Linked DNA regions of Notamacropus eugenii. Each later gene encodes a partner of the first gene's protein in a complex. Links are inferred from orthologs where the notes say so. Each region holds a gene or a part of one and is shown on either strand. Other genes may lie near its edges.

Region 1 (3,745 bases):
GGGGGGGGGGGGGGCGGGGGGGTGGGGGGTGGAGATACACTGGTGTGTTAGACCAGGTGAGCCCCTGAACAGATACAGGGAGAGGAAACTCAGCTTCGAAGTTAATTCCAAACATCACGGCTACTTTAAACCTCCCAAAGGCTCCCAAGTGGACACAAGGAGAGGGTGTGACTTCTCTCCAGAGCAAGGGGTAGATTTGGGAGCCACCTCCCCCCAAAAATGCTAAGGGCGTTGTGTTTGTGTCCTGGATAAGTGGAGGAGAGAGAGAACACCGGAAAGAAAAGGAGAAGTGGGGTGGGATGAAGGGAGAAGCAAAGAGAAAGGAAGCAACAACAGGAGAAAGAGAGCTGTGCTTGGAACCAAAGGTCCTGGGTTCGAATTCTTCCCGTTCTGCTTAGAAGCTGGGTGACCCTAGAGAAACCACTTCATTTCCTTCCCTTCGGCCTCAGTTTCCCCATCTGGATGATGGATGGGGGTCAATGGACTGAGGACCCTTCCTGCTCTAGATTACTTCTCCCTCCCCGTGCCTCAGTTTCCCCAAATGTAAAATGGACTAGATCTCTACGGTCCCTTCCATCTCCAGCTCCAGGATCCCGAGAAGAGAAGAAGGGACGGAGGAAGGGACTCAGCCCGTTTGGCCTCCCCTTTACACGGGTGCATCGCCCCCCCTCCCTGTGCCCTTCGACCTCCGACCCCCGACCTCTCCCTGGGTCCTTACAGGAGACACCCCCGCGAGCAGCGATCGCGAATCGGGTTCCGAGCCAAACCTTCTGCGAGACGCCGCTCCGAGAGTCGCGGGCCGGTGGCACGACCCGAACTCGCCGCCCCGGAGAAGGGGAACGCCGCAGCCGCCGGCGAGCCCGTTTCCATCCGCCCGCTATTCCACCTCCCCCCACCCAGCCCGGTCCCGACCCCGTCGTAGCCCCGCCCCCTTTCCCGGAGGCCTATCGCCTGCACGAGCGGACACCGCAGCTCTCCGATTGGTCGGATGGGACGCCCTTCCCTTTTCTCCGCCCACTTGACTCTCCTCCTCTTCCCTTTCCTTCCGTTCTCCGGGGCACGAAATGAGCCTCCGCCCCCTTCCCAGTCTGCGGTGCTCTGATTGGGCTTTTCTCTTTTTCCCGCCCTCTGCATCTTGGAGGAGGAAAGGATGCCTAAAGCTAAAAAAATTACAGTTTCGTTCGGCTCCCCTTTGTGGGGTAGCCTATCCTTTGATTGGCTCTGAGAAACGTCCTTCTACTTTCCCCGCCCCTTGCAGCCTCAAGGGGTGGCTTCCCCTCGTTTTTTCATTAGTTCTTCCGGAGGCCTTGTGGGGGTTCTTATTGGAAGTTCCTTGCTCTTTTCCCCGCCTCCAGCATGCAAGTCTCCTCCCCTTCTCCTCCTCTCCCTCTCTTCGCAGCCTAAGGTGCATCCGTCTCGGCTCTTTCTATTGGTTGTCGGGAGTCGGGGTCTCGGAGTCATCGAACTCACGGTGCTTCCGATTGGCTGGAGCCTGTGGGGTAAAGGGTCGTGGCCAAATGGAAAATGCCGGACGTTGAGTGGCGACTGCTAATTCCCGCCCCGGATGTGGTTGGTCTGGTTGAGTTGTTTACCCGTAGCCTAGCAACGTGGCCACTCTGGAAACTGAGGAAGGAGTAATTGAAGGGAAGGGAAGCCCCGCGGCTGCGCGGGCGGGTAAGTGGGGTCGTGGCGGAGAGGACGAGGTAACGGAGAAGATGAAGTGGACAGGGGTGGAACTTTCGTGCGACTAAAGGTCACGTAGTCCATGCCCCTGCCTCCGGGCAGGAACATTTGCCCAGCCCCTCCCCCACCGGGTGCCTTTCTTATGGCAAGGATCCCCCGAGGCCATCTAATCCAACTGCCCAATATTACTGAGGACGAAACTGAGACCGAAGCAGACAGAGCCAGGATGTGAATCCAGGATCATATAGGAATGTATGAGCTATAAGGGATCTCAGAGGCCATCTAGCCCAATTCCATTATACAGATGGGGAAACTGAGGCACAAAGAGGTCCAGGCTCACAGGGCCAGTTAAAGGGCAAAACAGGGACTGATCTCGGAATCTCCTGGATCCCAGCCCCACGAATATGCTCTGACCATCCATTGAATTTGATTTTGATTTGAGAGCTTTGCAAGTATGCCAACTCCAACTCCACCTACTGGATCTTGCTCCCAGTCTGTCCATAAGTAAATATTTTTTAAGTACTTACTATGTGCCAAGCTAGATGGTTCAGTGTATAGATCACTGGACCTGGAGTCAGGAAGACTTGAGTTCAAATCTGGCCTCAGATACTTACTAACTATGTGACCCTGGACAAGTCACTTCACCTCTGTTTCCTTTAATCCACTGGAGAAGGATACGGTGACACTTCTCCAGTATCTTTGCCAAGAAAATCTCATCAACAGTACAATCCATGAGGTCGTGAAGAGTTGACACAACTGAATGACTGAACAAGAACAATGTGCCAAGCTAGGGATTATGAAATCCCTAGAAACAGAGTCCCTGTTCTCAAGGAGCTTGTGGTTTAATAGGGGAGACAGGACGCAAACAACCATGTCCAGATCATATGTATACAGGATAAATTAGAAATCATTAACCAATGCAAGGTTCTAGAATTAAGGGGTATCAAGAAGTATGTCTGAGGAAGAATGAGGAGCTTGATGAGAGGAAACAAGAGACAAATGAGGTTGGAATGGAAAGAGCCTTGATTTGAATGTCAGCAAACCCTGGCCGGACACTAATGAAATATGATCCTGGGCAAGGCATTTGAGTTTTGGTAGGCCTCCAATTTCATCCTCTCTACAATAATGGTATTAGACTAGATGATCTCAAAGATCCTTTGAGCTGTGAACTTGGAACAAGCTCTGAGGTCAGAATTGCAGAGTCATGAAACCAGAGGGTCCATCATTGAACAAAAATCCTCTCTACCCAGACCTAACAAGGGGTCATCCAGCCTTTGCTTCAAGACCTCTAATGAAGGGATGCCCACGATCTCCTGAGGTAGCCCATTACATTTTAGGAGACCTTTAGAAAAGTTTTTCCTGATCTTGAACCAAAATCTCTTTTCAGCTTGCATCCATTTCTTCTAGTTCTGTCCTCTAGGGATGAACAAAAACAAATTTAGTAACTCTTCAGATAACTGAAAACTGCTATCATGTCATTACATTCCACCTCCACCCCCTGCCCCAGTAATGTCTTATTTAGGCTAAATACTCCCAGTCTCTATATAGAACAACCTCTGAGCCTTTTACCATCCAGGTTGTCGTTCTCTGAACACTCTCGTTCACATGTGTTCATATTCAGTCATGCCCTACTCTCTATGACCACATTTGGGGTTTTCTTAGCAGGAATACCAGGGTGGTTTGCCATTTCCTTCTCCAGCTCGTTTTACAGATGAGGAAACTGAGGCAAGCATGCTTAAGTGACTTGCCCAAGCTCACACAGCTAGTAAGTGTCCTAGGTTTGAACTCAGGAAGATGAATCTTCCTGACTGTAGACCCAGCATTCTATCTGCTGTATCACCTAGCTGCCCCTGAACACTTTACAACTTATGAATGTCTATCTTAAAATTTGGTGCTAAGAACTCAATACATCTGATCTGACTGGAGCAAATGAAAAAGAGATTATCCCCTCCTTATTCCTTGAAGTCAAACTTCTCTTGATACAACCTGAAATCAAATCAGCTTTTCTGCCTGCTGTGTCCAGAAGTGTGCTGGAACCAACTCTAACTAGCTAAAATTTCAA
Region 2 (3,745 bases), on another chromosome or scaffold:
TTGTAACTAGGACTTGTCCCCTAGACAATTTGCTCCACTAGGAAGGATTTCATTGATCTTCCATGCAACCTCAAATGTGGTGGACAATGTGAAAATTTTCAAGTTTATTCCTCTTTATGTCCATCTGTAAACTATGGCTACTAGTCCAGGAAAAGTTTCTCCAGGGAGAGGGAAAACTGACCTCCTTGGTAGATCTAGTTACTGCTAAACTGGATTTTGGCCTTTGATGCCACTGATTCTAACAAGGGAGAATCTGTAGGATAGACCTTTTCCTATGTAAATATTATCAACAAGTAGTAAGCCTAGGAGGGAAACTGAATTTGTCAATTATTCTGAATCTATATTGGCAGTGTGTGATGGGGAACTTATATTACTGGACTGAAATGACAAAACAGGCACAGTTTGACATGTGAAACTTACCTGCGTCATCTTTAATCACCGAAGTAACAAAAAAAAATCTGAATTTAAGTTTTTGAGAACACCATGCAGTCCTAGGACTTCCTCCCAACACGGGTTGGTTAGTTTCAGGTTCAATGACAAATTGGCCTAGCGAGCTCTGGGCCTGCAGATACTTATTGTGCAGAAATCCTTCCAAGAAAAATACGATTTAGTATGTCAATAAGAAAAAATGCAGCCAACTTATTTTACTGCGCGACCTCCGGCTCGTGCAATTCACCAAGGGGCCACCCTTTGTTTAGTACGAACAATACAATCAGGGCAGTGTGAATTTATTTTTCACTTGAAATTGTAAAAAAAATCAAATGGATCGAGCACAGCATTTCAATAGCCTTTAAAAAGAAACCCTGCGTACCGAGCTTTGGAACCACGTTTCAAGATTAGAGGCATTTTAAGTGGCAAATGTCGGAGAAAAAAAAGCTTGAAGTTTTCTCAGCAACTGCAGCAGGAGAACGTGACGGAGAATTTAAAAAAGCCCCATCGCCTGGCCCTATGGAAGGCTGCGCATGGCACTCCGGGCGCGCTGTTGCCAGGAGAACCCTGGGTTCTGCCTCCCGGCTGGTGCCTGACGCCGCAGCCCCGACAACGCCGCCGCCAGGGTTTAGCGGGAGCCTGGGCTACAGCCGGCGCTGCTCGGCCTCGAGGCCCATTTCGTCCCGCTCCGGGCCCAGGGGTGCTTTGAAGGCCCCCGCCACCCCGGCTATTCGGGGAAGGGAGCATGGGTGGGGATGGATGGTGGCGGGGAGGGCCTGCTGGCGGCCGCTGCTTCGCTCGGGCCCGGGAGGGAGGGGCCGCCCCCGCGCGCGCCCCACGTGGGCCGCTCGCCTCCGGTTGGGGGGAAGGGCGGCCCCAGGCTCGATCCCACCGCGCCTCCTGCACGTTTCCAGCCGCCCCCCCTTTTTTTTTAAATCTGGCAATAAAAACGCAGCCGTTCCCAGGGAGCACGAGGGAGGGAGGAAACGAGCGGGAGAATAGGAGGAGGGAGGTCCCCCCTGTGGAGGGCGGGAAGAGAGCGCTTTGGCGGCAATTGTCTAACAACACTCCAGGTTCTGGGGCTCTAGGGCGGGGCCCACGTTTTTATGGCGGGGGCGCCGAGTTCCCAAGGAGGGGTCTTTTGCGTGGGGGGGGGGTTGTCCACGTCTTCCACGGCCCTGCCTCCCCATTCCTTTACGGCTAGGACTTGCCTTCTGGAAGTCGGCGCAGGGCCGCGGCGGGGCTGGGCATGGTGTTTCTCTCCCTTCCCTCCCCTCCCCTTCCCCTTCAGATCCAGGCAGTTCTTCTTTCCCGCCGCCGCCCAGCGCCACCTGGCATCTCCAGGGCGACCGGGCCGGCAACAAGATGGCGGACGATAGAGACAGCGGAGGTAGGAAACCGCCTATGGAAGGGAAGGGCCGGGCCTGGCTTGCTGAGCGTTGCCAGAGGCCTTGGAGGAAGCACCCCTAGAGGATACCCCTGCCTATACCCCTTTGGACGTGCCACCCGCTGAGGGGAATGGGTGCCGTGCACGGGGGAGGGGGGGAGAAGGCGGTGACCTTGGCCCCGCCCAGCGCGGGAGTAGGGGAGGGAGGGATACGTCGGCTCTCCTCCCCCTCTCCTTTTTCTCATCCTCCCCCGCTTCTTTTATCTCCCCTCCCCCAGGCCAGGCGCGGTGCCCGAGAGCTACGCCTCGGCGCCTCCCGCCGCCCCCTCCTCCTCTTCCGGGAAACTGTAGCGAGCGCCCCCGCCCGGGGCTCGGGGACAAAAAGATGGTGTCCCGGTGGTTGTATTAGGGATGGAGGTGGCTGCGTCCGCCCACTAGGGCCGGCGGGGTTCCTCCTGGATCCTCTTTCCTCCTCCCATCGCCCCCACGCGGCCGCGCCGGGCCTCCCTTGTCTCTCTGCCTGACGACCGTTGGCGGCACCATTTTGCTTCCCGCGGCGCGGGGAGGCGAGGGCGGGAGGAAGAGGCTGCAGCGGTTCCCTCCCCCTTCTGCACCATGAAGCGCCTCTCCCCGGCCCTGGCTTGTGCGTAGGAAGAAAGAGCCAGGCCGGAGACAGTTATTTATTCATTTTGGGGGGAGAAAAAAAAAAAACACCCCACACCACCTCTCACCGCGATCATGACCAAGGAAGTGCGTTCGGGAAGCCTGGCCATGAAGTGGGACCGCCCGCCCGAGAGGCTGCCTTTCCGGGGCGCTCCTTGCAAGCAGGCCCGAGGATGCTGGCGCGCCTCGGGCCCAGCAGGCCCGCCTCCCTCTCCCCCTCCCCCACCTCGGCCCGGGCTGAGCTCGCTGCGTGCGGCCCCCATCTGCAGCCGCGTGCAAGCGGACATGTTCTCTTCTCAAGCCCCGGGGGGTTCCCCACACAATAAAAATAAAGGCCTCAGTCTGAGGAGCTGAGGCTCCCTGGAGAAGAAGGCGAGGCCAGCCCGGGGCCCGCGGGCCTCAGACGGGAGGGGAGCCGCCCCGCGGGGCTGCAGAGACCCCCTGAAACCGGCAGTCACCACGTTCCCGTACGTTAAAGCAACCACAACAAAAACCGCGACTTCCTCAGCCAGAATCTGACCAACCTGGACCCCTCCCCCACATTCTCCTGCATCAACTTGAATTTTTCCAGTTTATTGTGTCAGTATTTTGTTTTTACATCACTGTTTGCTCGTTGTTTCTCCGTTTAAACGCTGAGTTCCTTGGGAGCAGGGACTGGTTTTTGCCTTTTTGTCCCCAAGGCTTATTAGACACAATGCCTGGCACATAGTAGGCCTTAGGAAGTCCCTGTGGAGTACTAAAAGCCTAGTCTTAGGTTACTAAGCCCCTCCTCGTGTATTTTCAATATGACTGTTGACAGGGATAAATAATATGCCCTGATTCTGCTTCAGACCAAGCTTCAGGAGCAGGGAACCTTCTTTTGCCTGTCTGTGTCCCCAGCCATACCTGCCATATAGAGCAGGTATTTATAAATGCATGTTGACCGTTTGGAACCTGGTATTGCGGTTCCAACATCACTTCCGGTATAGCGTAAATACTGCTCTAGTTCTGCGGAGGTTGAGAAATGCTTTGCGCTCAGAAAAGTCCTGGCAAAGCAACTGGACCTTAGAAAGGGAAAGCCTATGGCCCCTGTCTGTGGACTGCAGGCGGGCTGTGGAGAACCGAACCTGAGCCAGGTGTCTGTACGTTGTACGGCCTGCAGGGCCACAGAGCGCCGGCTGAGACACAAATTCGTAGCAGGGTTCGGCGTTGAGGTAGGCTGCAGCCTCGAGGAGTTTACGTTCTTTTTTTTGAACAATAAAATTTTTATTTCTTTGTTTTTAGTTC

The links.
Region 2: IQCD (region 1) and EFCAB2 share a complex: the UniProt entries of both Homo sapiens proteins name them as parts of the nexin-dynein regulatory complex. The link is inferred for Notamacropus eugenii from reciprocal best matches to the Homo sapiens genes DRC10 and DRC8.

What each region holds. Positions count from the first base shown.
Region 1 is NC_092875.1:32,967,713-32,971,457, forward strand, and holds the start of IQCD (dynein regulatory complex protein 10), read left to right. Parts: upstream 1-1,011; 5' UTR 1,012-1,674; exon of another isoform or gene 1,675-3,001; intron 3,002-3,745. UniProt on the Homo sapiens protein: Component of the nexin-dynein regulatory complex (N-DRC), a key regulator of ciliary/flagellar motility which maintains the alignment and integrity of the distal axoneme and regulates microtubule sliding in motile axonemes.
Region 2 is NC_092873.1:406,150,067-406,153,811, forward strand, and holds the start of EFCAB2 (dynein regulatory complex protein 8), read left to right. Parts: upstream 1-1,591; 5' UTR 1,592-1,794; coding exon 1,795-1,819; intron 1,820-3,745. UniProt on the Homo sapiens protein: Component of the nexin-dynein regulatory complex (N-DRC), a key regulator of ciliary/flagellar motility which maintains the alignment and integrity of the distal axoneme and regulates microtubule sliding in motile axonemes.